Arabidopsis thaliana: one gene and its partners. The protein of the gene in region 3 interacts with the protein of the main gene of each other region in a biochemical or structural test. Each region holds a gene or a part of one and is shown on either strand. Other genes may lie near its edges.

Region 1 (7,108 bases), on a different chromosome or scaffold from region 3:
TCACATCGCATGTTTAAGACAAAGTAAAAACTGAGAAAGAAAGAGAGGGAATCGGAACATACGACGATGAGCTTGAAGAGGTTGGCCTCCTTAGGAGGAAGCGAAGCCCCCATTTTATTGCGCTACTGAGAGAGCTCGCGAAGACGAAGACGGAGAAGAAGAAGAAGAAGATGTTCTTCGCGAGTTCGATAGGGTGAGAGAGAGATAGAGGTGGCGTACTATCCGCTTCAACCCTACTGCGAAACAAAGAAAGGCACAACTCTCACAAGACAAAACCCAATAAGGGTATAAATAAATTAGGGTCTTGTCTTCAATCAATCTTCTTCGATCCTAACCATATCGGTACATGTTTCCGGTTTCAATTCGTTTGTCTGATATTACAAAACGGTTATTAAATTGGATAGAACCAAACCGGTTCAAAACTGGAGACATCTGAACCTAATTGACCAAATCAAATTTGTATTAACCGATCAAATTCATCGTCAATCGACACTAAAAAGTATCAAATCAAACCGACTTATTAATTGCAACCGATTACATCTCTCAATCGAATCCAAACCAGCATAAATAAATTCTAATTAGAAACATTCTTTCCGAACCAAGCAGACCGGATTATTTCAAATTTTTATCAGTAATAACATCCTACTCAAACCGAACAAACCGAGTATAACAAGAATTCTTGGAATTCCTTAAGAGATCATATGCAAAATGAAACAAGTTTGATCTAAAGACACTCTAAAGAAACGTTCCTATAAGCAAGTTCGATCTCTTCTTCAGTCATCTCAACGGTCATATCACTGTCATAGCCACAAGCAACCCGAGAGGTCGATTCATCTTCGCCCGGTTTTGCTAGCTCAGCTTCGTAGATCTTTTTCCACGACTTTGCTTGTTTGCAAACTTCTTCCTTTGATGCTGTTGAATTTTCCTTTTTAGAAGACGATTCCATCTTTCCAAGCTCCTTCACTACACGAGGGACAAAGCTCCATAGCTCTGTAACTGATCCAATGTCCTAAAATTAAGAACATTCGAGAATAAATTCAACCAATGATCTTCTCAAAGAAACTGATCAAAGTTTAACAAATCCAAAAATGTACACAGGCGGCAACTATTATTGTTCAGACTTCAGAGATATTAACCTGCTTCTGTTCAAGAGAATCTATGGCGTCTTGTAAGCAGGTTAAGACTCCTTCCGCAGCTATTCGCTTGATTTCGCCTGGTTCTGGCTGTTACAATGGCTTTAGAATAACGGAAACATACAATCAAGAAAACATGTCTTTTGAAAGAGCATATTAATTCCCTTACTTTTTCCTCCTGACTCTCAAGCCATGAGATGGTTTGACTTAGGTCATCCCTGGCCCATTTCTTCACCTCTGTAACAAAAAATGGCTCTTTCACAAGATTGCAAGCTGATCTATTCTGTGAACATATGGAAATAAACAGTCATAGACCATTGATTGGAGCAAAATACGGTTCGTTTTGGTTAACCAAATCATCAGATTTAAACATGCCTTGGATGAGGTAGATGGTGTTCCCCTTGTTTCTGTTTTTTTCTCTACTTGCTTCTCTGGTTTTTTAGACAGGTGTTCTCTCTTTTCTGAATACAATCAATTAAGGTTCACAGAGTCAACTAAACATCGGAGTGAAGCAGTGCAATAAGAAAAGCTTTTCTCTTGTCATAAACGTAAAAACAAGGTGATTTGATGAACCTCAGGATGGTTAAAACGGAGATTCTATCTAAAGCCTTTCCAATATAATTCTTTTTACCTCGATTAGCATCTTGGGGACTACTGCTTTTCCTCCATGGTTTTCCAGCATGCATAAGGTATTGCTCGATATCTACCAACTTCTTCTGCGCATAACACTCAGTTATCCACTCCTGGAGACAGTGAAATCATATAAAATATCAGCAAAAAGGAGAAATTCAAATCCGCACACAATCCCTTATAAGAAGAGTCAAAGAGGTAACCTTTGAGATAATTGTTCCACCATTTGTTTCAACTTGACGGAACTTTGGAGTGTTAGGAAAAGCACAAATCAACAAGGTAGAGCCAGCGTTCCAGTCAGGTTGATAGGTGGCTCCCATTGTCAAGGCTTGTGACCTCAGTGTACTCCTCTCAGGATTAACAAAGCCCGAAAGTACAAAAACAACGCCTTCCTGCATAGTTTAACCTTCAACTCAATCACAAAAGCATATAAACTAACATGACAGCTTAAGATAATTGAGTCTCAACAAGACCATGAAGACACACACAAACCATAAGTTTAGAGAATTCAGTGGTATTTGAACTTGGCTCGGCGTGTTCTGACTTGTTGGAAGGGGCATTTCTACTGTTGTGCTCTTCGGTTGGTCCTTCATCCTTAGGCTTCTTACAATGAGACTTACTCGGAGTAATCTCGGGATCCCTAGAACTCATCCAAGAAGGAAGATTTCGCTTCTGAGACATCTTGTCCTTTACAGTGGAGAGAATACTAACACAGCTTTCGTCCTACAAAGAAACACTATTATGAACCTAAGCCACTAGTTACTTGAAACTCCAGGAAAATATTGCTATTGCATCGCATCTAGCACAACACAAAGCCAGAGAGAAAACGGTGCAAATCTGCAAAAAATGTAAAACATTCCCTAAGAAAGACAAATCTTAATACAAACGAATGGTATAACCTTTTTTCAATTTCAACATAAAAAAATCAATGGACAATGGTTTTAACATAACTCAGTAGCACTGAATTTGAATTCGAGTTCAGATCAAATCACACTGGAAAATTGGAATTGAATACCAAAAAAAAAAAAAAAAAAAAAAAGAAGAAAGACATTGCAATTAACAGAACATCGCGAACTTCGCCATAAAACCCTCGAAAACTAAATCTACCCATGTAAATGAGCCAACACAGAGGAGAAGACTATAAACTTGAGAAGAAAGCGAGGAACCTTTAAGTGCTAGCGCTCCCCCCGTGGCTTCTCTTTGATCGAAATCATCAGAGACTATTCAATTTGTCAACATACAGTACAAAATCAGATCAAAATGACGGGTTTTCAATTTAACAAATGATTCAACTAGCAAAGGTGGACGTGCCGGAGTGGTTATCGGGCATGACTAGAAATCATGTGGGCTTTGCCCGCGCAGGTTCGAATCCTGCCGTTCACGCTTTTTTTTACCAATTTTTTGCTTTGACTCTTTCATTCGCGTTTTTACTCTTCTGCCCTTTTTTCTTTTTTTTTGGACATCAACTTGTCTGCCCTTTTAGGATTTCTAATGTTTCATTTTTACGGTGGAGGGGGTTTATGAATTAAAAGAAGTACAAAACCAAGGTCAAATTACCATTACTAAATCATTCCTCGTTTCAATCTTTTTTTCCTAAGTTAGCTCAGTCAAATCCTTCGTATACCTACAATGAGCTCGATGAATTAGACTTAATGCACTGGAGAAGCTAAAGCTTGCAAGGGGAGGAAACATCCTATTTCTTCTGAAATATATCGTATGCTTGTCCATATCATTGATGTCATGATGTGTCATGTCTCATATTCTCGTAACATCCGCAACACAAACCCATCATATATGCTTTTATCTTATCTTTCTCTCGTTGTGTTGTTGTTTTTGCTACAACACAATTCCAGGACTAAGTTTCTGAATATCAATGAGTCTAAACATGTCAAAATTAAACTACGTCTTCACTTTGTCTTTAACGTACCTTTCTTTGATGAAAAAATGAAAAAAAAGTTATAAAAAAAATAACGTACCCTTCTTTAACCGCAAACTGTTTTTGGACTTTTGAACCCATTTCCGAAATTTCAGGGCTTCTTTTCTTCAAAGTTACGTAGTACGTACTAATAATAAGCCATCGTCACGACTCACGTGGTTACTAAATAAGATATGCTTATAAAAGGATTCAATATATTCAATGGCTTTGGCACGTTCTGTCCTCGCTTGACTTAAGCCATGTTAATTTGACCGTTGTGTTGTCGTTGGTCTGTTCGACGCTATCAATATAAAAAAATGTGTTTTATTAGCTAAATTCAGTTGATTTATCATACTCTGTGCTTTCCCTCTCGCTCACTTTATATATATCGAAGAGTATTGAATCATCTTGATTTTCTTATTTCATTACCATTCAACATTAAATCATGTTGTCAAAATTTATTTCCAAAAAATGACATGAAACCTCGAGCAAACCCTTAAAAAAAAAAAGGTAGATAAGTTGATGTTAGTATATGATGATGAGGATGAATGAAAATAGATATTCCGCGCACTTATAAAAAAAGAAATACAATTACTGGCAGTAGAAGATACGAAGTCCACATCAGCTACCGGATAACTATCATAATGGATATGGAAAAGGACGTAAAAATAAATACCAAAGGAAACTTCATGAGCTTATCCTGTCTGTATGTACGAGAGCTGTTTTATTTGATGTCGACCGCATGAATATCCAAATGATCTATTGCATGTCTTCGTAACAATTTGATCCCTACCATTAATTAATATGCAAAATAATAATGCATATATGATGAAGACGTCGAGTGCCTAATAGAAAGATGCGGCGAGTCAAACTATCTTTTGAGACATATATACTGTTTAGCTATATATCTTTTCAAATGAACATTTTCCTATGTAATTGGCCAGCGTTTTCTGCGGTGCCAAAGCTCATATTCTCTCGATCATCTAACTGTAAACCTTATTACTTAGCTCTGGCAGATGTTATTATCTTTGCCGGTTTGCTTCGAGGCTTTGTGCTTCTAATTTAATCAAGTGTCGACATAATTGGAAAAAAAAACGAGTAAAATGCAAATAAATAACGATCACATATATAAAGAAGTAATTAAACTCTTTTGGCTAGTTATTTCGTGTGTTCTTCGTTTTTTTCCAATTTGCTTGGCGAATTTTCTTGTGAAGAAAATACTTGTTAAGAGATTTGAATAATTGAACGCGACCAAAGAAGAGTATGAGAATTGAAAATATCGACACGAACATTGATGAAGTGGGTCCAACACTCCCAGTACCAGTCTATTCGGGCTATTCCTATCTACGAAGAATCGGATTGCTTCCGTCGTTTATTGTTTAGATTTATCAAAGAGCCAGCCACCCGACGAATCACGACGACTCTTCTTCCCCCCTTTAAGGATGTTGACACCGTGTCGTTTTGTCACCTTATAGAGTTATAGTCATTCAGACGCCGTGCCGTTTTATCAGTTAGAGTTATTTTCTTCATGTTGAACCTTTTTTTGTCAGCCCGTTTTATCCCACGTTGAAGTTTCAATTAGCTTATTTTAAAAAATATTAGATCGGAGTATCTTTTGTCTAATTAACCAAAACTCCAAGTTACTACATTTATATGCAAATACATGAATGGGTCATAGTAATCACAAAACTATTGTTTTAATAAACCAAATATATGCGTTAAAGATGTTTACAGCTTTATACATATGGCGGACACTAGAACTAGTCCAACCTGCATGGAACATGCTACTAATTCCCTAAATATTGTATTATTCCGTATTCAATTTTGTACAGCTACGAAAAATAGAGTATTGTACATAAATGTCCATACGTTACAGATTAAATTAGTAAGCAAAAATGCTTTGATTAACGAGTATACGCTTTTGAGTACGGAGACAACATTTCGTTTCTTTATGTCACACGCGTTAAGAAGTTTAATAAAGATCATATATAATTACGACAAATATCTGTATATATTGTAGCTATATTTATAAAAACATATAACTTTGGTCATCGGTAATAGTTTAAAGATGTCGAGTATCAATACAGATTTAAATATGGCCGACCAAAGATAGACACACACATACAGACAACAACAAGCCAAATAAGAATCAAATAAATTTTTGTCAAAAAAAAGGGAAATTCTACAAGTGAAATTAGAGAAATTATCTAGAAGGATTTTAGAGGAAAGACTCCAAGGCATTAGTCTTTGAGCTGGATTTGGATTTCATTTTAATAAAACATAAATTAATCTTTAAACGCTATTATGTGCTTGGATTATGTACCACATAATGCGAAGGAAACATCTTTGTAGTTTTGCGTTCTTCATATAATAATATTTTGCCGTCGTGTATGTGTAGTATACATATATTCATCACTTTAGTATACAAGTTGCCACAAAGTTCTGTTGTTTATAATAAAACCAAAAAAAAAGAACAAGTTCTGTTGTTTATAATAAAACCAAAAAAAAAAAAAACAAGTTCTGTTGTTTGGAATTAGGAGATCGATTTAAATTTTTACAAAGCAAAAGGGTGTGTGTGGTCCGATTAATATTTTAGTATATGAGAAAAAGAAAGGGTGTGATCTAAATTATAGATTCAGAAGGTCCATTCAAAAAGTACAGTCTTTTATGTGTAGGTTTTAAGTTTTTTCATTATTCTTAAACGAACAAATGATAGATTAATTTTATTCTGTTTTTTGTTGTGCGCACTAGTAAGTGTATACTCTATAGCATTAGATAGAAAACAGAGTAACATGTCAAAACAACATCCAAAATCTAAAATCAGTATTAGTCGAAAGGCCTAATTCGATATTCGGTAGTATATTTTACCGTCTATGTTTAGATATATAATCTGTTGTTGACTGGAATTCGAATGCTAAATTACTAAACCTGACCAGAAAAATATCAGGAGAAAATGAACTTGGATATGACATCCATCAACTTGTCCCAATTGGTCCAAAGTCTCCATCTTTAAATACAAGACACAACCATTAACCGTTTTTGCCCATACTAACTCAAATTCCGTTATCTTCATTTTATTTGATTTAAACTATAAAATATACAACACAAAAATTATATTAAAAAAAGAAAGAAACGATGAATGAATCAACAAGTTTTCTAGAAACACTTATCTTCAAATATCTATAAAGCGGCACACTCTCCTCTTTCCCATCATCATCATCATCTTCTTCAACCTTGTCTCGATCCAAAATTTCATCTTTTACCAAAACTATTACAATATCCCTCACTCTACTTGTAAAGCTTCAATCTTCTTCACTTCTCAACAAACAGATAAACAAAAAGCTTCAATCTTTGATACTTTCTCGATGGAACTTATCCCCAATCTTCCCGACGACGTTGCTCGCGAGTGTCTCCTTCGCTCCTCCTACCA
Region 2 (8,269 bases), on a different chromosome or scaffold from region 3:
ATCCTTATGATTGGTTCAAGTATGGAGAGTTTGGACCTTACTCGTGGCGTGGTGTTGTGGTTGGTGATCCGGTTCGTGGTACTATCTCTGATGAGTGTGTTACTATGATTGGTGAAGTGGAGAATCATGAAGAGTTTGAGAAGATTGAGCAGCATGAGATGAATATAGCTTTTCAGAAGAGGGTTAAGGAGTTGGATTCGAATGTTGGTTTGAGGTATTTTTGGGTGTTTGTCAGGCATCCGAAATGGAGACTCAGTGAGTTACCGTGGGAGCAATGGACGTTGGTTAGTGAAGTGGTTGTGGAAGCGGATAAGAAGCAGAGGTTGGATAAGTGGAATTTGATGGGGAGATTAGGGAACAAGTCTCGGTCTTTGATATGTCAATGTGCGGCTTGGTTTAGACCTGATATTGTGTATGTGAAGAAGCCTGTGTTTCAGTGTAGGTTTGAGCCTCAAGAAGATTTCTTTAACTCGCTTATCCCTTATTTAAACCCGGTGACGGAATCTGGATTTGTGTGTGAAGTGGAGGATGATGAAGGTAGAGTGGAGTTGAGTACTTATTACGGAGGATTGTGTAAGATGTTGAAGGTGAGACAGACAGCTTTCGTGGATGATGTGGTGAATGCTTATGAGAAGTTGAGTGATGAAAAGAAGTCCAGAGTGTTGAAGTTCTTGCTTGGAAACCACCCGAACGAGCTGTTGCATCCGTATACAAAAGAATGGAAAGCAAAGTTGGAGGAGATGGAGTTAGGGTGTGATGCTCCAGATGAAGATGAGGATGAGATTAGCATTAGTGGAAGCTCAGAGAAGGCTGAGTTCTCAGAATGGATTGAAGATGAAGCTGACAATGACGATGATGATGATGATGATGATGATGATGATGGTGAGGTGGAAGAAGTAGATGATGATGATAACATGGTTGTCGATGTGGAGGGAAACGTTGAAGAAGACAGTTTGGAAGATGAAATAGAGGAGTCGGATCCGGAAGAGGATGAGAGGTACTGGGAAGAGCAATTCAACAAAGCGACAAACAATGCGGAGCGGATGGAGAAGCTTGCGGAGATGAGTATGGTGGTGTCAGATAAGTTTTATGAGAAGCAGTTAAAGGCATTGGAGGAACGAGAAAAGGGAGAGATTGAAGGAGATGAGTTGGAAATGAGAGGTAAGAAGGCAAAAGTGAAGCCAGAAGAATGGAAGACAGTAGGATATGGAAGGTGGATGAAGAAGATAAAGAAGAGTAGGATTCCACCTGAGCTCTTTCTCCGTGCTGCTGTTAGGCCCTTTGTTTACAGAAACCTTGTCAAAGAGATTGTTCTGACAAGACACGCCATTTTGGAAGGCGAGATTGGTCAGAAGGAGTGATTTCATGTCTGAGTCTTCTGATTAAAGAGTGAAAAGGAGAGTGAATTTTTGATGTATGTTATTAGCATCATAAGAGATTTTAAACTTTCCCAATCCCATGTATGTAAATGAGTCGGAAATTTGAACTTTTTTTGTTATCAGTGGTTTGTTATGTTGACTTTGCAATCCTGCCTGTTCAAAGGAGTTTCTTTTTCCTGGTTCAATAAGCTCTAGTTGACGCTTAAATATCAGTAATATACAAAAAGAGTTAAAACACATACTAATACTTTGATCACAAAAGCACACTACTAGTTTTATCACAAAAGCTAGCTACTAGTTTCATCACAAAAAAAAAAGCAAAAGAAGTTGCAAACTGCAAACACAAGCACAAGACTGATACAGCTAAGTCCCTGGCGATGTACTTGAGGGGATAAAGTATTCCTCCGGGGTAAAAAACTTTAGCCCACTCGCCTGCAACCAAAGAAAGTAGTTGTCTATGAGGAAAGTCAGAAAAGTAAATAGGGTGACTTATAAAATAAAGGATGGGTATTGTCTGACGTTTGCAATAAATACCTGTGCAAATTTGATGTCAGCGTCGCTGTGATCCATTTTTCTTCCAGCTGCATCCCCAACGTAGAAGGATCTGATGAGCATAGCACAGATGTCAGTATCAACAACAAAAAATGTGCTAGTGGACTTAAACGGAGTGTTTAATCAGTAAGGCTGGTGGACAAATGAGTGTAATCTTCCAGCATTGCTAGAAGTTTCAGGTAAATTCAAGTTTTTAGGAGCAGGTGGGGAGAAAACTAACTTATCCATATCAATTGCAATTCCAGAGTTAAAATGCTTCTTCATGAGTTGCCACATTCCAGCCTTGGGTTTGCGGTAAAGGTCATCTTTACCACCTTTACCACCAGAACTTGAGACTCCACAGGCTATAAACACCTGTTTGCAGAACAAAACCATTTATAATCTTCACAGTATCAGCAACAATGTAGGGAATTGGCACTTTTAAGACTTTGAAAATTTGGGGTGTTAACTAATAAGAACAAGCAAGACAGAATCACTATTTTCTCTCTGATTATACCTATACGCCGGAACAAATCATTAAAGCCATATGAACTAAGTACAGAACAAGGCATTGAATACATCATAGTTTCTTATCATTACTCATAATAATAGCTAGGGTTTGTTGACACAGTGTTCTTGAATAGATACAATCACGTTCTTACTTATGAAAACGGAAGAGCACTTAACCTGAATGGGGACCTTCACGCGCTCGATAAAACTGTTGAGCCGTCCAATTTTCGAATCTACAGCAGCTTGCCGCTTGTTCTTCCATCGATCAATGTTGGATTCATTTGTGAAAATGACCTGTTGAACATTTAAAATCAGCTACTCTATAATCTATATAAACAATACTATTGAGTACCTAAGACTTAATTCTAGCTGAAAATAAAATACCAGCTTATAGCCTTGATCGTGCAGACTTTGCAGTTTCTCAGGAATGGAAGGATACATTAGGGACCATGCATCTGCCCCTACTCTGAGAAAGAAGGGAATATAAAACATTATGACACATTACAATGTTTCTCATTTTCCTTGAAAGACGAGGTTCGTGCATAACACCATTAAAAGGATAAACAAAAATTGCAGAAATGCAATCACTTGAGATAGAATGAAAAGCCCATATGTCCATAAAAACAGAGAACACACTAATATTATGGGTGACCAAAGAGCTACTTACATTTTCACAGATGTTTTTGCAAGGCATCCATCAAAGTCAAATGCAGCTATTTTTTCTGAATCATTAAGACCATCATCCTGTTAAAATGCAACAAAGGAACATACCATTAGGCCATAATATATTACCATCATGTACATCATATCTGAAGATGATTTCTCACCCGCTCAAGGAATATAACTGTCTCAAAAGCTTTCCATTTTGGTAATAGATTGGCATCCTGAGAAACAAGAAGATTAGCAGCCAGAAAAATAAAAGAACTCGAAAAAGGGATCAAATGCCAAAGCTACAAACTCCAAGAAGAATATTTAACACAGGAATACATGGCTTTAACCTACTAGACACTATAAGTGCTTACCCTGTACTTATCCTTCACATCAGACGCTGAAAGAGTGATTTCTGCTTCAACCTCGACCTGAGAAGTTGACTCACTCATGTTCACCTGCATAACACAATATTTTAAAATCATTAAGTATAATTTCTCCACAATGAAGAGTGGCTACCATTAGAAGGTATTCAATACTTATCATTGCTTGTATACCTTATGTGTTTTAGCCATCTGTTGTTTCGCTTTAGTTAGCGATTCATCTTCTTCCACCATCTCCCCAACCTTTATAAGAAACAATAAATTACAGGTCAAGGAATATTCCAGTTTAACAAAATTATAGTATAAAAAGATGTGATTATTGCTATTTATTAACCTCAGAATGTTTTCTTTTGTTTGTCTCCTCAGTTAGCTTAATTTTAGCTTCAGTGTCATCATTATCTTCATCCATCTTCTGCAATCCCGCAACGAAATGAAGTAAGAAGTTAGTTTAGACATAAATTCTAAAATTATTTTCTGGTTAAGACATGATAAAACTTTTAAACAGAATGCTTTCGCCAAAGAAAACAAATATTATGAAAAGGGGATTTGCTATTACATCTACCAAAGTCTGCTTCCCGCATTGTTGGACCAATTCCTTTAATGCATCCTGATCACCACTCTGTTTATAATTAAAAATAAATCAAATATAAAGATGTGTTAGCAGAAACAAGGAATACATACATGTTTGGGTGTTAATTTTGCACGACACTGACAACGATGTCATGCCAACCTGACAATAAATTAACTATATACCAACATCTATATTCCAAATAGCATCTGTTTCAAATGATCCTAGTTACCAGAAGATACATGAATAATCTAGAAGCTCTATCCCCTGAATCTTTAAATACAGACTAACCTGCAGTTCTGAAAATCCACCAATGTCCTCTACCGAAACAATTGGATCAGAGTCGACAGGAAAACAACCCAAGTGATGCCATTGTTTCATATCAAAGCCACGGAAGTTTCTGGTCACTAGCCCCAACCTCAGTTCCTTTGCAGCGATAGTCTGAGAGCACTTCTTGCATGTTGATCTGCTCGATTTCGCATACTCAGAAATAACTTTTGAAGAATCAGGAGAATTTTTCACATCCTTAGTCTTCTGCTCACTTATTTCATCTGATGCAGGCTTTTTACTCTCTTCATCCTCATCCTTAACCGATACAAGCAGTTAAAAGAAGTATTTCAGTCAAAAATCTACATCTAGGTTGGAAAATAAGACTGAAGTCTGCATATCATTTCTTCCTCGCATAAAAGAAGATTGTTGCTTCCAGAACTTACTTCTTTTGCAGGCTCGCCAGGTTGTTCCACCAATTTTGCAACAGGAGAATGTTTTCCTTTTTTGGTCTCCTCCGTTAGCTCATTATCAGCTATAGCTTCATCATCACCTTCATCCATCTTCTGGACATCCTGCCAGCAAAGGAAGTAAGAAGTTAGTTTCAAAAAGCCTGAAATGGTAAAGTTCTCTACATTTGCAGAAACAGACTATAATATTATGACAAGGGATATGGATAGTACATCTATCAAAGTTTTATCCTTCTTGTTTACTTCGGCCAAATACTTTAATTCCATCTGGTCACCTTTCTGTTGAGTATGACAAATGAATCAAATAAAAAAGATATTGTTAGCGAAGTTACCACATGTCATATGCAATCATCCAAAAGCTCTATACACTGAACTGAAAATTCCTAATATGTAAACAAAAACTAACCTCAAGCGATGAATATCCACCAATGTCCTCCACAGAATCAATTGGATGAAAATCAATGGGAAAACAACCCAAGTGATGCCATCTTGTTATATCAAATCCCCTGGAGTCTTCAGTAACCAGCCCCACTCTCAGATCCTTTGAAACGATTGTCTGAGAACACCTGTTGCATGATGATCTGCTCGATTTCGCATTATCAGCAATAACTTTTGAAGATGTTGCCGCCTTCGTAAGCCCCTTCGGCCCCATTATATGCTTTTTAGCCTTCCCCTTCTTCTCATCAGGCTGCTTTAAGTTTAAACCGATACAAGCAGTTAGGCAAAAGTAGATATGAGCAAATGAGACTAAAGAGCATCACTTTCCAAAGTCTTACTTTTTTTGCAGGTACTTTACCACATTGTTCCACCAATTTCGTCAAAGCATCTTGATCTTCTTTCTGTAACCATAAGCACAAGCGTTAACACAAATAACCGAAAGTGAAAAGCTTTAGACGAAAAAAAACCTAGGGAGTCCAAAATACAGAAATGTAAGGAAACCCTAACCTCTAAAGCGGATAAGCCTTGAATATCATCAACGGAAGCAATCGACTCAGAATCAGTCGGAAAACAATCGAAATGGTGCCACCTGGTCATGTCAACCCCGCCACGTCCTTTGCTAATCAACCCTAACCTAAGCGATTTCACAGCTATCTTGTTCGAACATGACCTACACGACGACCGATTCGACTTCGCGTACTCAGCAACCACCGGCATTGTTTTCGCCGTTGTTCTCAAAATGTGACAGGTGTTGTAGACGAGATACTGTGTTCTTTCTCGGAAAAAGAGAGTGGAGCGATTTATTATATAAAGAGGGAACTGGAAACGAAGAGACACGAAGGGGGCTACTGTAATCATATAGCCATTGGTGGGGAATCGAGAAAAAAGGTGATTAGGGTTCAGTTCACGTTCCCGCCATTCTCGAAAGTAGAGTCTGTCGGTAAATTGATGTCGGTCATAGGGGTATAAATGTAAAACACAAATATATGCGTTAGTTTGGGCCAAATCTCAGTGTCTCCTCTTTTCCTCTTTCATTGGGCTTATTTGGGCTTTAAAGGCCTAACAAGACACGTTTTTATAATACAGTTTTAAAAAAAAAAAACAGGTTTACTAGCATATTAAATAAAAATGAAACGAAATAAACAAAAAAAATTGTGACACATCTTCAACCAATCAAAACCGCTATAATCGTTTTTAGGTCTCTTCTCAGTTTTTCTTGTCGTTCTGTTGTCACCAAAGCATTATATAAAAGGGCTGATAGTATTTTTATAAAGGGTCTAGCTAGTTTAAGTTCAATATTTTAGAAAATATATAAAACTTACACGAAAATAAACATTATAAGAGCAAATTTATGTAAGAAGAAATTTGTCATGTCATCATATCTTTCGATTAAAAATGAGATTCTTTCGAAGAAGAATCTTAAAACTAAACCAAACAAAATGTTTGGAATCGACACCGTGATAGGAGGACGCGTACCACACCAAGTGTCCTCTTGCATGTCTTCAAGAGACATGGCAGTGCCACGTTCACTTCATGTCTTTTTCTGTAGCTGACTTTTTGTTTTCTGTTTATCCACTTGGTCTATAGAAACCAACAATGACCCATGTCCCCGATTCTCTGTCTTTAGTATTTTTTATATACAAACTATCAGAAGCCCCAATAAGGTCCGATAATTACCTCATAAAAAAAATCAAACACACAAAATTCTAACTAAAAAAGGTAAACTAACAAGCACCACACGTGGGTTGATCTTTATTGCAACCGTAGAGACATAACATATGAGTTTTTTTTGTTTTCATAACCATGTAAAACCAAACTCAGTCTGGATAACCAAAAACATGGTAAAAACATATAATTAATATCCAAAAACTATTTTTCTTCCTCGATTCTCATTACCTTTAGACCGGTTTTAGTTAGCTTTAAACTTCGGAACTTCGACGACGGTCGTGGCTAGTCCCCCAACCAGCAACGCCTGTACGAAGCTCAGCCGCAGCGACAAGAAACTCCGCTTGTTGGAGCGGACTCAAGACCTCCACCACACGTGTGATCGTTCTCAGTCGCAGATCATCAGTTCGGTGGACGATTTCTGCTAGCCGTCGGATCCTCTGGTCGGGATCTGACGATGTCCCCATGACAAGGTCACTCGCATCGTCTTGCCACTCCGACAACTCTTCCGTTATCGCATTCTCTTCCTTCACGGTCTCACATTGTAGCTCACTTACCGTCCTGCCTTTGACAAATGGAACCCTAAATATTAAATATTAAGTAATCAAAATATGTTTAGTTAGTCCATATGTTATTGTTTACACATTGAAAAAAAAGAAAGTAAAATAAGTGTTTTAATCTCTCAAATTTATTGTTATCCCTCAAATGTGTTTTTCACTTTCTAAAACATTTTTGGTAAGAAAAGTAAACAAATAAACATCGTATGTTCTAAACTAATCTACATATTTGATATCTCTAGGTGTAGGAGTGAACCTGTATTAGTTTTGGTAAACAATAACACGCGCAAATCACGATATTACTTCAATCAAATTACAACGTAACTTAAGGATATTTTATTAAATTAGATAAAAAAATCTTTACTAGTAGTTGTGATTAGTAAACAAAGTAGCTAATTAGGGGTTCGTGTAGAACCTGAACTGAGAAGGGGAGAGATCACTGAGATCACCGGTGCGAAAGCCACGAAGTATATCAACGATACGAGACTCAAATAAAATACTCGACTCAGTGTAAACCAGATGGAACAAGGTGGTTGGTCGCCAACCACCGACCCACTGAAGCGACCGTTCAAGAGCTGAAGCCCAAGGAGAAGCCATAACTTCGATGACGTCTTTATCCGTCGCAGCCCACTTGGCCCTGTGATATTCTCTAAAGTGTTCCATCACTCTGTCCACAGCCTCCCTTAACCGTTCCTCATCACCGGTAGCAGAGTTCCGGTGATGGTTTTGGGCGGAGCGGAGGTGGTTCAGGTGGTTTCGTAGCTGCTCGATCCATGACTGTTGGAATTTCTTGAAGCTTGCTATCGCTGTCTCTTGGCTCATATTTTGGGTCCTCCGTAGTGTTTGGGATGGT
Region 3 (9,508 bases):
AATCTTGCAATCAAAGGCTTCGGTCCCCTCGTCTTTCGATCAAATCCACGTACACATACGTACCCTACATAATATCAAAAGATAAGTTATGTTTCAGAACAAGAAGAAACTGCTTAATACAAAATGTACCTTTCCAAAAGCAAGCCTGTATCTTCTCAGTTGATAAACCTGAGAAAAATAGAGCTCAAGTGGTTAGAACAACTTTCTTTTATATAAACAATCGCATCACAATCCAATAAAGAAAATCTTATACCTTTGAATATCGTAGGAACAGAGGTACCAAAATAGACCGTTCTTCGAGGTAATTCCCATATCAATTCCCTTGGGACATTGATTGGGTTTAGGCTGGATGCATGATCCGCAAACACCTGTATCAATAGAATACATCACAAGTTTCAATGCAAATAATTAAAATGAAAGAGTTGGAGTTATTGGAGTTCAAGTCTTACCTCATTTACTTGAAAGTACGTTCCATTTAGAGGAAAACTACCCCTCATCGCTGTTCTACAAGGAATCTGTACAATTTACAACATATTAATCTGTAGAAAACATAAGTGTAGTAAGCCGCATAAGGAGATTGATGCAACTACTTACCAAAATTGTCCCTCTCACAATTTGAGATCTAGTCTCCTTGATGCTGTTGCAGGAGAAACAAGTCTCCTCGTCACAAAGCATACCATTTGCTTGGAATATGCACGTACTAACAGACGGTTGAATAGAATCAGCCGTCTCACCTGTTGAATAACACATCGATTAAAGATACCGATTTGATTTCATGATTAAAAGATATGCAAATCATTAAATTACCTGGCGTCCATATAGCAAGCAAATAAGAACATGGATCATCAGGTTCTCTCTTTTCCAACTGCCACAAGAAATCACAAACAGCTAGTCAGATTTTACAATATAGACAGCACTCTATACGGCATGTGTCCTTATCCAGTTAGCTCACATACCTGAGCTAGAAGAGGATGCTCGTCTGGAAGTTCGTAACTGCAAGATACGGGAAAAGAAACAAGTTATGGCATAGCCTGTAATTATTGGGAAGTTTGTCTGCTTTCCAACTTACGAGTTCATGCTTGGTCAATCACTTAAATATTCTACTCTGTTCAAGCTTTAATAATTTTGAAAAATGTGTTTCTGATTTCATTTTTAACCTAAGAACGAAGAAAAACAGAGAAAAATGGATTCTTACACTCGGTGTTCTGTCCTTAACTGGCTGATATTCTTGAGCTTAGGCATTGGAAGAGAAGCAGTTTCAGCAGTAAGTGCAACTAAAGCGCTGGACATGTTTCCGTCTTGAAGTTCCTTGTTGTGTTCCATTATCTTCTTCAAGTTACTGGTAAATGCATCCATGTTTAGCCTGATGGTAGGAATTTCTTCTGGATCCTCAAAAAACGCCTCCTCTATGTCAGCTATTGATACTTCTGCGGTTTCTGGCTCCGGTGAAGCAGGCTCTTCGATGATTGGTTCACAACATGTGACCTTTTTTGCTGGTTCTGAGTGCTGTACTACTTCAGACCCTTGCTCTCTCTGGAATGGCTCTGGCAGGTGTAGAGGCAAAGGGTTTTTATCAGGTGTCCCCATACCTTTCTCTGTACTTGGTAAAGCAAGCCTTGCACTGTAAAACAAATGAATGTTACTAAATTTTCTGTAATGATGATTCAGAGCTTCGTTTAGATACAGACCAATTCTCATTTAACTGGGTTATATTTTAACAAGGACTTTCCTCATAGAGTCATAGTGGTACTAAAGGTTTAAGAGAACATGTTGTAGCACCTTGCAAACGCACTGGCAAAATGTCTGCATTCTCCTTTCATCGGACATGCATTGCAATTAGGTTTGCTCTTTGTGCAAAAGACCTGATACAATAATCAAGCAGATTACAAACCTCATCATGTGAGCTGATTTTGACATACGTATATATGTATTTCTTTAATACATACCTTTCCAAAAGTAATCATCTGGTAGTGCAACTCATACCTGTGAGATAATAGGGTATTAAACTAATGAATAAGTGTATTAGACTGAGGCATGAAAAAAAAAAAGTTAGTGATAAACATCATTCTTACAATGTTTTTTGGTCGAGTTTGCAGAGACGGGGCCAAAGATACTTTTGAATAGATTCAAGCATAGGATACCTAGACAAACCAAACCTCAGATGTATTAAGTAACAAATTACAATTTCCAAGTAGGACCATTTTGAAAAGTGCTTACATTTCCAGAAGATGCAACTGAAGTGACTCTGGGAGCGGCTGAAGGGGCACCCATCCAAGTCTGACGGCTATGCGCCCAACATTTGTATCAACCTGTCAATAAATTAAGTTCATGCATCATATAATTCACTTTTTATAGGGACAGAAACAAAAGTTTGATCCTTGCTTACTGGAAAGGCAAGATGGTGAAGTGTTAGAAGCCGCACACACTCCACACTTTTCAGTCCCAATCCGTTAAAGCTCAGAAGATATTCTCTGCAGGGTTTTGTAATATACGAGAGTACATAATTCATTATTAAGTCACTAAAACTGCCAAAGTAGTAATCTTTGTATAGGTTAATAAAGAAGAAATAAAATGCTTCGTCTTTCAAACTTACTTTGCTTTATCTGGTGGAACATCTCTCAACCATTCAAGATCGATACTTCCATGGTCATTTACCAGTCGATCAAGGAAGCCCTGCATGATTTTCATGTTCAGAGTCAAATACTTAAAATGAATGTTATCACGAAATTTAGCCACTAAATTTTTACCTGTATACGTTCTGCAAGTTTATGGTTCATCCCGCGACTCTTGATTGTTTCAGCAACTTCCTTAACATCTGCTGCTCGTATTGCCTTCCAATCCACGGTGTCCATTGTACTTCTTGTTTTTTCTCTAATTCCTGCTCTAGCTTGGGCTTCTCTTCTTAAACAATCCCAGTCAAACGCTTTTTTTTCCTCCTTCAAAACCTTTTTCCCTTTTTCTTTTAAGGTAGGTTTCTGACAACTCAAAACATCCCCATCTTGCTGAGAGCAACAACCAGGTTCACTACTATCAACAGAGGATTTTGTGGGCTCTTTCATTGACTGGAAACCCTTAATTTCTGAGCTACAATCACCCGGAGACATATTTGGTGATACTTGATTGGAATCTTCTAGAGAGACTTGTACCCCCTGTAGGAGCTTCATAAAGGAAGTACGATACTCTCCTTCTAAGTCGATCTCTGAGCTTGATCCTGCTCTCTCTGTATTTTGAGGAGCATCAGACACCATCGAATGTTGACATGTAAGTGCAGAATCTTCAGATGGAAACAGGTTCAGGACACGACACTTCTCATCCGTCTTATCAACCTCTACACTTGAGCCTTTTCGATCTGAATCAACATACTCCTTTGAATCCGTGGTTTTGTCAACTGATTCATGGGCTGAGATGGCAATCTCACTACTGCTTCTGGAGGTTTCATTGCTAGGTACATAATCCTTCTCCTCATCAGGCTGTGTATTTTTCAAAGTAACAGAACTGTGATTGTGATCGGGTGGGCTTGACATCGTTTCCTCTGAGTCCAAGTACGTTATTTGAATAGAAGGCATCGAGCTTGTTCCAGCGTCAAAGTTACTGCTCGGTACAAAAGGGACAGGGAACTGGGAAGCCAACGACATGAAAGCCGAACTACAAGGAGTAAAAAACATCAAAGCAAGTTAGTTTTGTGACTTTTTGCTGTCTTGGATTTAGTTTGACATAGAATTATGTAAGAGCTTGTACCTTGAGAGATGGTCTGAAACATTTTGAGTGAGAAATACTCCAACAACAGAATCCACGACGGATCCCTTCCAAGGCGTAAAACGTCGATCCCCTGTTAGAAACCAAAGACCATAACAAGAAGCAGTAGCTGAGACATACTAATTGAAACCATGTGGTTAGAACAGAAACACATAAAAGGACAAGTGTGGTGTATAACCTTGTACAAGGTGCATCCTTGCAATAAATGAGTCAGCTCGTCCTCGAAACACATTACGTTCTTCCTCCCACCATTTCGCCTTCTGCTCGTCTGATCCGTCAACACCTTCGCTATTAATATTCTCCAATAGCAGTTTCCACACTCTGTCTGTCTCATCGTCTAGATCAACCTTTGGTCGTGGGCGTGGTTTTTTAACAGGAGTTACAGGCACAATTGCTCCAGCGCCACCACCAAAGAGTACAATCTGGCTATTCATTGTGTAAGGAACGAGAGCAGTTTCAGAATGCTCCCTGTTGATGTCTAATAGACGCAATAGCTCACTGATTGTTTCGATCGAGTTACGTCGTTTCCAAAGTTCATCTGGAGAAAGACCTGCAGGAATCAAACATCATCATTATCAAGAAATAGTCTGCATTTAACAGATTCAAAAAAACAAAGAAATATAGTTCTGTATCTATTCATTACCAGTAAATGAAGGTGGAAAACGGCAAAGATTCGGAAGAAGATTTTTCTGTTTGGTTTGTGATTTCTCAGACTTGGTTGGCTTCTTTTTGCTCACAGTCACCCGCGTATCAACAAGAATCTTATTATTTTGCTGTGGCTTGCTACAATATCCTGAGGTTAAATGCTCAGGAACTTCCACAAGTTTATTCATTGAAGACAAATTCCGGAATCGAGCATGGCCTGTTGTTTTCTTCTTGATCGGCGTGTCTATCTTATCCGAGAGAACATTTAGCTCAGACTCTTGCCTTCCTTGAAAGATACCTTCTCGTCTTTCTTCAACGGTTAGGACTCTATTAGCACTGAGCTGAGATGTGGAACTGTAGCACGTAGCGTGAAAGGCAGAAACATAATTGTGCTGTTGTCCAGAGAATACTTTGCTGCAAATGGCATCATATCTCATCCCTCCCTGTTGCAAGTTTGGGGAATACAACCAATGCATTTTCTGGTAGTCACATTGCTCATCATACTGAATCCCTGATAGATTCATGTCGCAACAAGTTGGTCCTTGTCTTCTCTTTGCAGCTTGCGCCATCGAAATATCGACTTCTTCTAGATTACTGCCATTTTTCTTTGGTTGAACTCCCTTTCTTTTACCTTGGCTGCGCTTTCTCTTGGGCGTGCTAGGAGCCGAAAGAAGGCAATCTTTTAACTCTTGATTCCCAGAATCTAACTGCTTCTCTTGAAGAGCTGATTCCATCTCACCTGCTTCTCTAATGTCACCGTTGGTCTGGTTTTCTCCATTTTCGGCTTCAAAATCCAAGACTCGTCTACAGAGCCTCTTAGGACGAGTTGAAGTTTCAACAGCTGCTGATGATTCAACCGGAGTAGCGTCTTGATCCTTACTGACTTCAACCTTCTTCCGCACATATTTCCTCTTTGGTGTTTTGCTTTCTTGACCATCGGTGACAACAGACTTCCTCGGAGCTCGTGGTTTAGGCTCCCTCTTGGGTTTAGCTTCTCTACGAACCTTTGGCCGATGCTTCTTCCTCTTAGGTTTTTCAGGAGTCTTGAGGATCTGTTCAGCAACATTGTTACTCACTGAGCTCAAACTCTCCACTTCTTCAGTACCTTTTTGCATAACCTCTGTGTTTCCTACATTGAGAATCACATCTTTCTCAGTCCAACTCAAACAGAATCAAAATTTGACAAAGCGATTTCATTTCTCATGAGACCAGAATCAAAATCCCCTCTTACTTGTAGGTATTGGAGTCTGACCAGAGAATATGAGGGATGCAGTGTTAGCTAGAGCAAGCAAATCCCCAAAAGACAAGTGATCAAGACCACTCATATCCTTGTTCCCAACAAATCTCCTGCATGCATCAATACCTTACTTAACCAATTACCCATCACTACTCTTTGAAATTTCTCAACTTTAGAACAAAAAAGCACAAACCTTTCCTCCAATTGACTGCTATGATATTGATCCTCCACCGTGTATGGGCAGATCGGTGAAAATGGCTTCATGGGTGTCTGAGGAATCCATGGAGGTTGTTGAAAGCTGCTTTCTTCTCTCCTCTGTTTCTCCATTTCTGACTCTATTTTTACTTTTCTTCACTCTTACTTAAATCAGAACCATTTGAGAAAAAGCTTGGAACTTTCTATTTTTTCCACTGCAAAAAGTTCAATAATTTCTTCAATAAAAGAGATCACCAATTTTTTTTAAAAATCACGATTTTATAAAATGATCAGATCCACTTTTTTCTGGGGTTTTAGAGAAAGAGAGATCTCCGGAAGTCATTGATTTTGGGTGAGTGGCGACATGAACGATTAATCCGTTCGTTAGGTGAAAGAGAGACTTTTTAGATTCACAACAAAATGTAAAAAAAAGTAAGAAAAAAACAAAATTCATTACCAGTAGAATCAATGGTTATGGTGGTGATGGAGAGAGTTAGTTCGGTGGTAGCTATGAGAGGATAAGATCACTGATGCTTCGTTTCTTCTCTTGGAATCGATGAAGTTAAAGAGTAATATAGAAAAAGCTTTTTTGGCCTAACGTATAAAGAAGAGGATATAACATGTGTTGTTGTGTGTTTCACTATTTTTCATAACCGTTTGTTTATGTAGGGCGAAAGTTCGTTTGGTTGGCGGGAAAAGTTTTACGGAATTTTATTTTAAAAATAATGATTCTTTTCTACAAAATCTCCTAGACTATGGGAAAGATGATTTAAAAAGTTAATAATATTGTCGTTGTTATCGTCATCGTCATCATCGTCTTTTCTGTTATCTTTTTCTCTTTAAAATTTCGTATTTTTTCTCGTTTACGTAACTATTTAAAATTATATGAACTAACTAATTTTATAATTAATAGAAATTATAAAATAATCTTAATTTTGCTTTAGATATAAAATAATTAGAACTTTATTTATAAATTTATCATCAAATTATGATTTAAACAAATAACATGTTATGTAATCCACGTTTATAATTTTGATCAATAATATATTATTTTGCTAATTTTTACGTAATCTCATAAATTTACACGTTTTCGTTTACATATGCAGAAGTTAAATGATTCGTTTTAGAATTATTATTTTCCACTGATATGGGAGCTAGTGTAGTAGAGTGATTATTAGGCTAGTTGCCCAACGAGTCTTTCGTTTTTGATCATTCCAAATGTTTTAGTCTAGTACGATAGGAGTCAAAATACTGCACCATATGTGTGAAACTGTGAATGTGTGTGAAAAAAAGAGTAATTAGTGTGCTAACCTTTGATTTCCTGTCATGCAAGAAACCTTCAAAGAGACGTACATGAGAAATGAGTATTGTAAATCATTTATTTCATGGACTTGGTTGGAATCTTAGTGAATCGTTGTTGTCAATCTTAACAACTTGTTGGATTGGTTATGAGCCTATGACTTATGACTTATGAGTGAGTCAATGGTGGTCATAACCTAATGATTGGGTTATGAGCAAAGAAATTTGGAATTTGTAAAAAAAAAAAAAAAAATCAAGAGCTTTTTTGTGTGGACATATCTATCCTAGAAACTGAGACGAATAATAGTGGATAAAAAGTTGGGAACGGATTATTCGAATGTTTAAAACTATTATTGAAAACAATACAACTAAATATGGTACAAAAGTAAACGAATTCGTATAGCTAAACCTAATTCAAATTACGAAGCTAATCCATACTTGGATCCTAAACGCTTTTACTTTTACTTACGGTTTCTTTTTCAAAAAAGTTTTTACAAATTTGGGTTTGTCTTATGAAGATTATGGCAGAAGAGACTGATCAAAAGTGAATGCCTAATTCGGTTTAATCCATTCAAGTTTATCTTAAACAATGAAACTGACCATGAAAGTGAATTCAAAGACCAAATCAAAGAAAAATTAAACTGATTTAGTTGTAATATTGGTATTGAATTAAACTATAAATAGAAATAACCAAACATATAACCACAAAAGAAGACTATTTATATAAATATATGAGTTGGAAGTCATTTTTGGACTATTATATAAGATCTAATTATCACACGACGTGTGGATGTATGGTTAGCAGAGTTGTGTTCAGAGAGTTCGATAAAGCCATCACTCCAAACATACAAAATATCCATACATTGATCCACCAATATAACCGGCTGTGTGCCAAGCAAAGTGAAGCTTAGGCCTAACTAGGGTTCTCAAAAGTTCAAAATATAAAAAATATTTTGGCGTCGACCTTAAAGTCCTTGCTTCATCGACTATAGTCTAAAGCCGGCATGCCTAAAAACCTCATATAAATCGTCGCTTGTTACTCGATCATACTCTGTAACTATAAATATCCTGATCTTAATTATAACTTGAAATACTACTAATCTACGAATCTATCATGTAACCTGTTTACTAGTTTTTATTTAATATAATCAAGGAGATAGGTCACTTGAAAACAAAGACGCCACGCTTGTATCTCAATCCATACTTCTATTTTTTGTCTTATGATATGGTATCATTCACGTAGTTTATATATTAAAAAAAAAAAAATATCATTCCCATAGTTCTTAGTTCTTTGTTTTATTCATAATTTTATAATATTGGCCTTCCCAAAAATTTGGGTAAGGTCTTGGACATTACAAAGATCCAACATATACAAAAATAAATAATCAAAAAAATCTTTGTATGACTGGAGATAATGATCGGATCTTGCTGAAGACCGGAAACAGAGAATCAGAGCAATAGTACCAGCGGATACAAGACCCACGACTTCGCTGATTTGTTTTCTCATAACATGTTTGTGATTATTTTCTGATTTAAGCGTCGAAAGATTTTTTTATCCCATAAGGTCAATCCTCTCAAGCGGTGGCAGGAGATTCCCGTTTCACGCACTGTGTGAGACGTGTGAATGACATAGCTCTCGCTTACCATCCACGTCTCATGTATCAGATTCATTCAACTCTTTTACTCATTCACCATGCATGAAAAGTATAAATTACATTGAATTTTAGCAAAGCACTTAATTCTTATCTTATTATAATCCTATTTTACATGCACACGTTATAATGTTATGATATTATAATACATTTTGTATCGACATGATATTATCCATATAAACAATGGTGAAACTTAACTCAAAGAGACAAATACCATATTGTGATTTCATGCAAACTGAGATAGTGCCAAGTGGAAGCCAAGTGCCATCTTTCGATCTTAAACATGTCACATAGAAGAAGACTACAATAACCCACTTAATAAGTATAAACTTTATTTATTAATGCATGACTTTTTCAACTGTTCCTTTCCCCATGCAATATTGATCTATCTTTTGGATCATTGTTTATAAAAGTTCACTTAGAACATTCATTCTAGAAAGTATATAAGTCGATTCTTTTGATGAACAAACTCCAACGAGAAAGGTTCTTTATATATACTCCTAATAATGGTGATAACGTAGAATATACATATTGTTTACGCCAATTCGCCAAACAATTCACTCCTTAAAATGACCTCTGATAAATAAAATCGACTAATATAAACCTTATCTACTAATGACACCAACTAATAACACCCATTTAGGGTAATCCTCATTTATTAAACATAGCTTACTACCTAACAACAATAACAGAATTATTGTTCTATTAATCTTCTTTTTTAATT
Region 4 (6,771 bases), on a different chromosome or scaffold from region 3:
TTTAAGCCATGGAAACACATCTTGACTCTGCTCTGAAACCGCCATATCTCTCTCTCTCTCTCACACACACAGGGAAGAACAAAAAAAAGAGACTTTCTCTCAAAATTTGTTCACTTTAACTTCTAGGTATCAAATTAAAACGCCATTACAGAGTATAAACAGAACAAAAATTTTGAAGAGAGGAAAAAAAAACAAACTTTAAGAGAATCGACGAGTCTCCACCATTTCTCCGGCCAATAGAGTTATTTTCTTAAAGGGTCATTCACTTTTCCTCGAAAAAAACGACGGGCTTTGTTGATCTCGTTTCTTAGGTCTCTCTGTTTTTATTGGATTAAAGAAACAGAGGAAAAAATTGTATTTTTTTTAGGGGGTTGGGATGGGTTTGGGCAGAGCAAGAGATTGTGATATCTCTGTATTAAAACAAGTAAAGAACACTTAGTTAGAGAGAGAAATGGTTTTTAAAAGGGTATGATTTTCTTATTATTTACGATTCTGCCATTTCTAACACACATTTGTTGTTGTCCTCTCTGTAAATCCGTTTGCACATTCAAAAACTCCTTTTTAAAACCAAACATAAATCCCAATTTTAAGAGTAAAATTTTTGATGGTTTTAAAAAAGATATTTCTCATTAAACATTTTTAGTCTTTGGTAGTTCATGAAATTAGTAGAAATTAATGTATGATATAAATGTCTACATATATTATTGTGTTTGTTATGCTGAATCCAAATTTGATTTTTATGAATATGAATGAGCCCAAAAAAAAGAATTTGAATGAGCCATTGGTTTAACGAATGTTGCCTCTACCTACTGACTAAGACAATAAAGCAAAGGGTATAATATGCTTAAAATACACCAACAAAAGCTCTAAATCTTTAGAAATGACTCAAAAGTTAATAAATAAAAATAATTAAATGAAGAAGATTCACAATTAAAAATATCAACATTTCTTAGGAAAATAAAACATATTAAGATAAGCACAACAATAATTATAAGTACATTTGAGAGTTCATCAGAGTAACAAGGCTAAATAAGTGTCTCAATAACCTCAATCAAATCTTCAATGCATCTCTCGGCAAAGTAAAAATTAAATTCTCTGATAAAATAAGCTTTGGCTTGTTCCTAAGAAGGCCTTATGTTCTAATACAGAAGAAGATGATTTTAGTTTGACACCTGGTTCTGTTCCATTTCTGAAGATGGCTTCGAAAGCTCGAGTGTAACCGGACAATGATCACTCCCATGGAAACCTGAAACAAATCAAGAACCAAATTGTTGCAAAAAGAGCTAATAATAATCTTCTATGAATCTGTGTGATGAACAGGTTTATCTATGGCACCTTCAAGTTCTATCCCACGACCGTGCATCTTACAAGAAACTATACGGTCTTTGAGTTGTTCAGAGACCAGAAAATAGTCGATCCTCATCCTCTTTCCCCGGTACCTATGGCAACCAAAACAAAAAATCAATATATAGCTTTAGAAACATGCGGAGGTTCTGGACTCCAAGCCATAAAACTAAAATGTGTAGTATCCACTCACTTTCCAATGGGATTCCCCGACCATGAGAAGCCACTTTCCATTTCTTGCTCCTTGTGTAGATACCGGTATGCATCAACAAGCCTTCCTCTGTAACAGTTCCCATAAATATAATTTATAATCACATGTTTAGTAACTCTAATCTGTATTCTAGAAAGTACTACTACTAAGACTTCGCAGTGCAAAGACATATTACGCATACTCTTTTATAGTTGCCCCGAAGCGTCCTCTCTCAGATGGTGTAAATCCAGGCTGTCCGCAGTCCTGCATAATCAAAAAACTCAAAACCACTGTAGTCATTGTATGATTTAAAGGTCCATCTCACGGAGAACCTTTCGGTTCAGGCGTAGTAAAGTCATCAACAATAGCAGGGTCACAATGCAGATGAAGAGACAAGATAGGAAGAGAAATACAGGCGTAGTAAAGTCATCAACAATAGCAGGGTCACAATGCAGATGAAGAGACAAGATAGGAAGAGATATAAAAGGCCGACGGAAAATAACATTATTGAGAGCCAGCTCTGTTTTTAGATAAAAGCTATAATGATAATGAATAAATCGTACAAAATATGGTATTCCTTACCTCTTTGTTTGGAGGAACATAACCATTAAGCTTTGCTGTAGCAAAAAATTCTGGGTGGCTAACATCTATCTCCTCATGACTGCGTATTACAAAAATCGAATCGAGGAAATAACATCAACTTTTATTCTGTAAGGGCTTAAGGAAAAGAGTATAGCAAGAGAAGATATAGAAAAAACTTCCTCATTACCTGACATTTAAGTCGCCACACCATATTAGCGGTTTATCAGATGTTTTGTTGAGGAATTCAACAATCCTCTTGTCCCATTTTCTTCTCCTCTGAAACGCATTCTCTTCATCTTTCCAACCATTGTTAGGCGAATACGTATTCAAAAGACGAAATGTCTCAAATTCAGCTAAGATAACACGACCATCAGGTTCATGTTTAGATGCTGCATGAGAGCGACAAGTATATAAGTTAGTCATCAATGATCTAGCTATGATATATTTCTCCCAAGTACATCAACTTTGAGATCAAGGAAATGGCAGAACCATAACAAGACAGATAAAAGAAACATGGCTTCAAATTGCTAGTGTGCAAGAGATTTATGTGATGATAAGGAACAAGCAACAAGGCTATAAAAATACCTAATTTGTCCAAGTTAAAGTAAACTTTTCGAGGCTTGAAACATTTTTTCACTAACAAAGCTGTCCCTGCATACTTCGAGTCCGCGAGAGACCACCAAACCCCATAATTTCCAAATGGTGGACTTGAGAGAGCCCGTGTCAAAATCTGCAAGTTAAGTTTCCCAGAACTAATATCAAGCTTGAATGTTATCCAAACAACAAGAGAGTTTGTTACTCCATAAGTGGCTCCCGCATTCTTTTAAAATCTGTCTATAACCATGCCACTGCAATGTTGATTCTAACTCATACACCAAAATCTCCTACTAATTGCAAATGCATCAAGATACAGAGCTTTGAAAATTCTTGTTCCGTTGGTACTATAATACAACTATTTTAACAGATAGAACAAGCAAGTCAATACAGAACCATGGTACCTGTTTTTCCTCACGCAAAACTTTCGTGTCATCACTCAACTCTTCATGGTTTTTAGGTTTTCCCTTTCCACCAGCAGCAGGCATCCTTACTTCCTAACATTAAGAACACAGTCAACCGCTAAGCTCAGAACACGCTGACACTAAAAGAATCAACAGCCCCCTCCCCCATCGTAGTCACAAACAAATTGGATTAAAGTCTGATCTTTTGCACCATTAACCATTTAAATGTCATAAGTGACTGAATTTGCATCAACAAGTTGAACTCAAACCACTTCAATACAACCCTAGAAGACTTGGAGGGTTTTAAAGTTCCACACATAAACACCTAAGCACATTTACCCACATTGCTCGAAATTAACCCAGGGATTCCAAAGACGAAGCAAAAGAAATCACCTGTATGGCGATGACATCGGGGTCAAAATCGGAGACGAACTTAGAGAACTGAGACCAGTCATTTTTCACCCGAAGGAGGAAGCTATTAGCGTTCCACGTCATAAACTTGGACGGCTCGTTCTGGTTCTTCTCTTCTTCAACTCCATCTCCGTCTCCGTCACGCTTTTCCGGCGAAAGGCAGGGTTTCTTAGCCGCCGGAGAATTCTCCTTCTCTATGGGCTTGAAGAATCGCTTCATAGCTATAGCAATTTCGTAGCTTTATGGAGATAAAACTCAATTCACCAAAATTCAGATACCAACTTGAAAAAGGTACGAACTTTACGTTGTCCCGTCGTTTGTTGTATATTCGAAGCTTTGTGTTTCGGCGTTTGTTGTATATTCGAAGTTCACATAGAAATTTGCAACAATGGTCAAGCAAAACCATTTACATAGTAAACCCAACAACGCTCACAAGCCCAATATATTGTAACGCTTTTCTTCATAATGTTATAATCGAATTATATTATATATATGGTTTTACATGAATGTTCTGTTCAAATGACTATACACAACAATGTTGATATAGAAACAATTTTCTTAATGTGGTTTGTAGTTTTTAACTAACGAACTGTTTCCGGAGAAGACTTCCACAGAATGCCAAATCAAATCTCTCTTCTGGAGGGTCTCCAATGCAGTCGAAAACCGCATCTGCGTTCTCGAAATCTTCATCAGCCGTGTATCTACAATTCCAAAGATGAAAGAACGAATGATCATTTCAATTCTGATTGTTATGGAATTATGAATAGGATTCTGATTTCAGACTAAAACTCACCCACTCTTTGTAACTATACAAGTCATTCCCGCAGCTTTTGCAGCTGCTAGCCCGATCGCGCTGTCTTCAACCACTACACATCTGCACATACACAAATCCATATCTCAAGAGAGTTTTCTAAACTGACTCATTCTCTCCTGTAAAGAATCTTAGTAACACTTTACTTTGAGGGATCAACTCCAAGGGTTTCAGCTGCTAAGTTGTAGATGGCCTGTTAAGAAACAAAAAGTTTGATGACTCGGTCTTTAACCAAGACGAAGCAAGCAAAACATATGTTGTGATAGCATGGAAAGTGAGTAACTTACTGGATCAGGTTTCTTTTTGGGGACTACGTCTCCTGCGAATATCTTGATTTTCTCTGCTCGTTCTGGTCCAAGCAAGCATGAAACTATAGCAGAAACCTGAAATCAGGCAAGAAATGAGAAAAGTATTTCCGATTATACAGTTCTTCTAAGCTAAGACGATGCTCGCATATTCATGTTAACGATGCAGCTGCGCGTAGTCTTGTTTACGAAAACTCATCAGGATACAAGATTTTGAGATATATGGTTATGGTCTCAGGAAACTGAAGTAGTAGAACCTGATTGATCATACCGCCTTCTCATTTGAAGTACTGCACACAGCTACTTTGACTCCGTTTGTTAAAGCTTGATCAACCAACCTGCAAAGTTTTAGCAAGAGGGCTCAGAACAAACAAGAACATGTATATGATTAGTTGAAATAACAAGCCTTACAAACATTCATAGCATCATGATTCAGGAGTATCAATCATTAGTAAGTTTGCTAAACCTTGTTTTGGGTTAAAAGTTTTAGACTTTAAAAAAATCAAACTCAAAAGGGACATTCAAGTAATAGCATCGAGAATATAGAATAGAACATTAGAAGTGACACTAACTTTGCAACACCGGGTCGAAGCGGAAGCAGCTTTTTCTCGATAAGAACCATGAAAAGCTCAGTCTTCTGCTTGTGAAGTCCAGCTATGAACTCTTTCCTCTCTGCTTCATCTTTAGGAGCTTTCTCTGGCCAACCAACCTTGTTAAAATACGCAGTCATCCTACCAAAACAAAGCCACTCCAATTTCATTCAAACGAGAGACTAACTCAAGATTTGGTATAGTAAATGCAATTTTGATTGTATACCTTTCTTTACCACCACCGATTTTAAGTAACTCGCCGTATAAATCAACATCCCACGTAACATTCAAATCTCTCTGCAAAAGATTCCAATTATCATCACCGAAGCTAAGAGCTAATGACCAAAAAACTAAAACTGAGAAACCTCTTTGAAAGTGTCGTTGAAGGAGATCCTGTGACCGTCCTTCTCGGTATCAACAAGAACGCCATCGCAATCGAAGAGAAGAGCAGAGGGAAGAGTCGTCAGAGAAGATGAAGCAGAGCAGGTGACTCCAACGGAGCGAGATGATCTGTATACCATTGGTTTTGCTCTCAGGGACTTTCCATTGAATCGCAACTTCACCGCCTTTGCAGGTGCCGCATTGGGAATGAAAGATGGTGATAACTTAGATTGAATTGAAGAAGAAGAAGAAGATGGTGATAGCGAAGCCAAGGAAAGAGAGATTTTCACAGTGGCCATTGTTTTGATTCTCTCTGTCTCTCTCTTTATCTCTAATCACTCTGCGAAATAAATAACGGTCGCGAATGTCTTCAACTTATCCGGTCTTTGTTTAACGACCACAAAATAAGAAAGAATTGAAAGAAAGAGCCACCCGAGTACGGGTCGGGTTAGCTAATTCGGTATTTCTCTACCTATTGACACACCTTAAACCGAGTTTAAATAACCTTTTAGACACTTTTGATTAAAAAAATTCTATTTATGACAGCTTAAATACTTTTTTTTTTGCTTTAAATCTTCCTTCTTCTCCTTTTTTCTAGAAAGCCACAACATTTTTCAAAATATAGTATAGATATATAATATTATTATGCGATATTTCTTTAATGGAAAAAATGTTGTTTAATACGCCAACTTTTAAAACATAGTCATTTAATACGTGAACTTCGTATGTGGCCAAATAAAACATGACAAAATCGTTGACCAACCATTTTACACATAGAAAAACGTTGACCATGCCACAAACACCACAACGTTATCTGTCGTTAACATAATCGATAACAGACGTTAGCAGACGTTATTCATTCCGTTATTATCCAAAACGACGTTGTTTTGTGCTTAAACACAAACCGCAAAATCCCAATTCGATTTTTTAATCTCTAAATCTCAGAAACCCCCAAATCTTCAAATCCCTAAATTTCCAAATCGATTTTTCAGTTTCAAGCTTTTATCTTTGTTTTCCTCTTTATGTTCTGAGATCTAGAGTTTTTCTAGATTTCCTTGTTCTCACTCTTAATTCTCTTTGTGTCTTTCTGAGATTAGTCATCGGTTAAGCAATTTCAAGGTAAGGGGGTTCTAAGTTTCTTAGATTTTTCTTCTTCTTT

The links.
Region 1: the proteins of DML1 (region 3) and ATXRCC1 form a complex in vitro, tested with the Arabidopsis thaliana proteins (one study listed by BioGRID).
Region 2: the proteins of DML1 (region 3) and AT3G14890 form a complex in vitro, tested with the Arabidopsis thaliana proteins (one study listed by BioGRID).
Region 4: the proteins of DML1 (region 3) and AT3G48425 form a complex in vitro, tested with the Arabidopsis thaliana proteins (one study listed by BioGRID).

What each region holds. Positions count from the first base shown.
Region 1 is NC_003070.9:30,234,720-30,241,827, forward strand, and holds ATXRCC1 (BRCT domain-containing DNA repair protein), read right to left. Parts: upstream 3,817-7,108; 5' UTR 3,740-3,816; intron 3,147-3,739; exon of another isoform or gene 3,065-3,146; intron 3,053-3,064; exon of another isoform or gene 2,984-3,052; 5' UTR 2,930-2,983; exon of another isoform or gene 2,487-2,929; 5' UTR 2,445-2,486; coding exon 2,256-2,444; intron 2,156-2,255; coding exon 1,967-2,155; intron 1,877-1,966; coding exon 1,765-1,876; intron 1,670-1,764; coding exon of another isoform or gene 1,620-1,669; intron 1,595-1,619; coding exon 1,509-1,594; intron 1,417-1,508; coding exon 1,303-1,416; intron 1,224-1,302; coding exon 1,137-1,223; intron 1,010-1,136; coding exon 725-1,009; 3' UTR 501-724; downstream 1-500. Other genes in the region: EMB2753 (tetratricopeptide repeat (TPR)-containing protein), read right to left, coding at 63-113; AT1G80440 (Galactose oxidase/kelch repeat superfamily protein), read left to right, coding at 7,044-7,108. UniProt on the Arabidopsis thaliana protein: Corrects defective DNA strand-break repair and sister chromatid exchange following treatment with ionizing radiation and alkylating agents.
Region 2 is NC_003074.8:5,006,534-5,014,802, reverse strand, and holds AT3G14890 (phosphoesterase), read right to left. Parts: upstream 6,128-8,269; 5' UTR 6,053-6,127; coding exon 5,702-6,052; intron 5,596-5,701; coding exon 5,533-5,595; intron 5,445-5,532; coding exon 5,163-5,444; intron 5,036-5,162; coding exon 4,970-5,035; intron 4,862-4,969; coding exon 4,733-4,861; intron 4,605-4,732; coding exon 4,311-4,604; intron 4,071-4,310; coding exon 4,008-4,070; intron 3,864-4,007; coding exon 3,786-3,863; intron 3,695-3,785; coding exon 3,626-3,694; intron 3,527-3,625; coding exon 3,443-3,526; intron 3,305-3,442; coding exon 3,248-3,304; intron 3,165-3,247; coding exon 3,088-3,164; intron 2,887-3,087; coding exon 2,805-2,886; intron 2,715-2,804; coding exon 2,598-2,714; intron 2,286-2,597; coding exon 2,152-2,285; intron 1,984-2,151; coding exon 1,914-1,983; intron 1,812-1,913; coding exon 1,743-1,811; 3' UTR 1,538-1,742; downstream 1-1,537. Other genes in the region: EMB3120 (uncharacterized protein), read left to right, coding at 1-1,361; AT3G14880 (transcription factor-like protein), read right to left, coding at 7,114-7,441, 7,832-8,238. UniProt on the Arabidopsis thaliana protein: Nick-sensing 3'-phosphoesterase involved in a base excision repair pathway required for active DNA demethylation. The N-terminal DNA-binding domain binds specifically to gap sites and sharply bends the target DNA.
Region 3 is NC_003071.7:15,308,308-15,317,815, forward strand, and holds the start of DML1 (demeter-like 1), read right to left. Parts: upstream 6,501-9,508; 5' UTR 6,291-6,500; intron 6,049-6,290; 5' UTR 5,966-6,048; coding exon 5,832-5,965; intron 5,749-5,831; coding exon 5,633-5,748; intron 5,531-5,632; coding exon 4,400-5,530; intron 4,307-4,399; coding exon 3,935-4,306; intron 3,830-3,934; coding exon 3,739-3,829; intron 3,646-3,738; coding exon 2,748-3,645; intron 2,674-2,747; coding exon 2,594-2,673; intron 2,472-2,593; coding exon 2,387-2,471; intron 2,310-2,386; coding exon 2,218-2,309; intron 2,142-2,217; coding exon 2,073-2,141; intron 1,984-2,072; coding exon 1,947-1,983; intron 1,863-1,946; coding exon 1,780-1,862; intron 1,622-1,779; coding exon 1,196-1,621; intron 994-1,195; coding exon 957-993; intron 866-956; coding exon 808-865; intron 735-807; coding exon 595-734; intron 516-594; coding exon 450-515; intron 369-449; coding exon 254-368; intron 169-253; and 3 more. UniProt on the Arabidopsis thaliana protein: Bifunctional DNA glycosylase/lyase, which excises 5-methylcytosine (5-meC) and 5-hydroxymethylcytosine (5-hmeC), leaving an apyrimidinic (AP) site that is subsequently incised by the lyase activity.
Region 4 is NC_003074.8:17,928,883-17,935,653, reverse strand, and holds AT3G48425 (DNAse I-like superfamily protein), read right to left. Parts: upstream 3,950-6,771; 5' UTR 3,745-3,949; coding exon 3,508-3,744; intron 3,208-3,507; coding exon 3,115-3,207; intron 2,847-3,114; coding exon 2,702-2,846; intron 2,506-2,701; coding exon 2,304-2,505; intron 2,196-2,303; coding exon 2,117-2,195; intron 1,799-2,116; coding exon 1,737-1,798; intron 1,625-1,736; coding exon 1,538-1,624; intron 1,440-1,537; coding exon 1,336-1,439; intron 1,247-1,335; coding exon 1,161-1,246; 3' UTR 910-1,160; downstream 1-909. Other genes in the region: REF6 (relative of early flowering 6), read right to left, coding at 1-45; AT3G48420 (Haloacid dehalogenase-like hydrolase (HAD) superfamily protein), read right to left, coding at 4,103-4,226, 4,319-4,399, 4,483-4,529, 4,624-4,719, 4,913-4,979, 5,214-5,372, 5,458-5,528, 5,597-5,911. UniProt on the Arabidopsis thaliana protein: Apurinic/apyrimidinic (AP) endonuclease involved in active DNA demethylation and gene imprinting. According to a report, also displays an in vitro 3'-phosphatase activity. According to another report, has no in vitro 3'-phosphatase activity.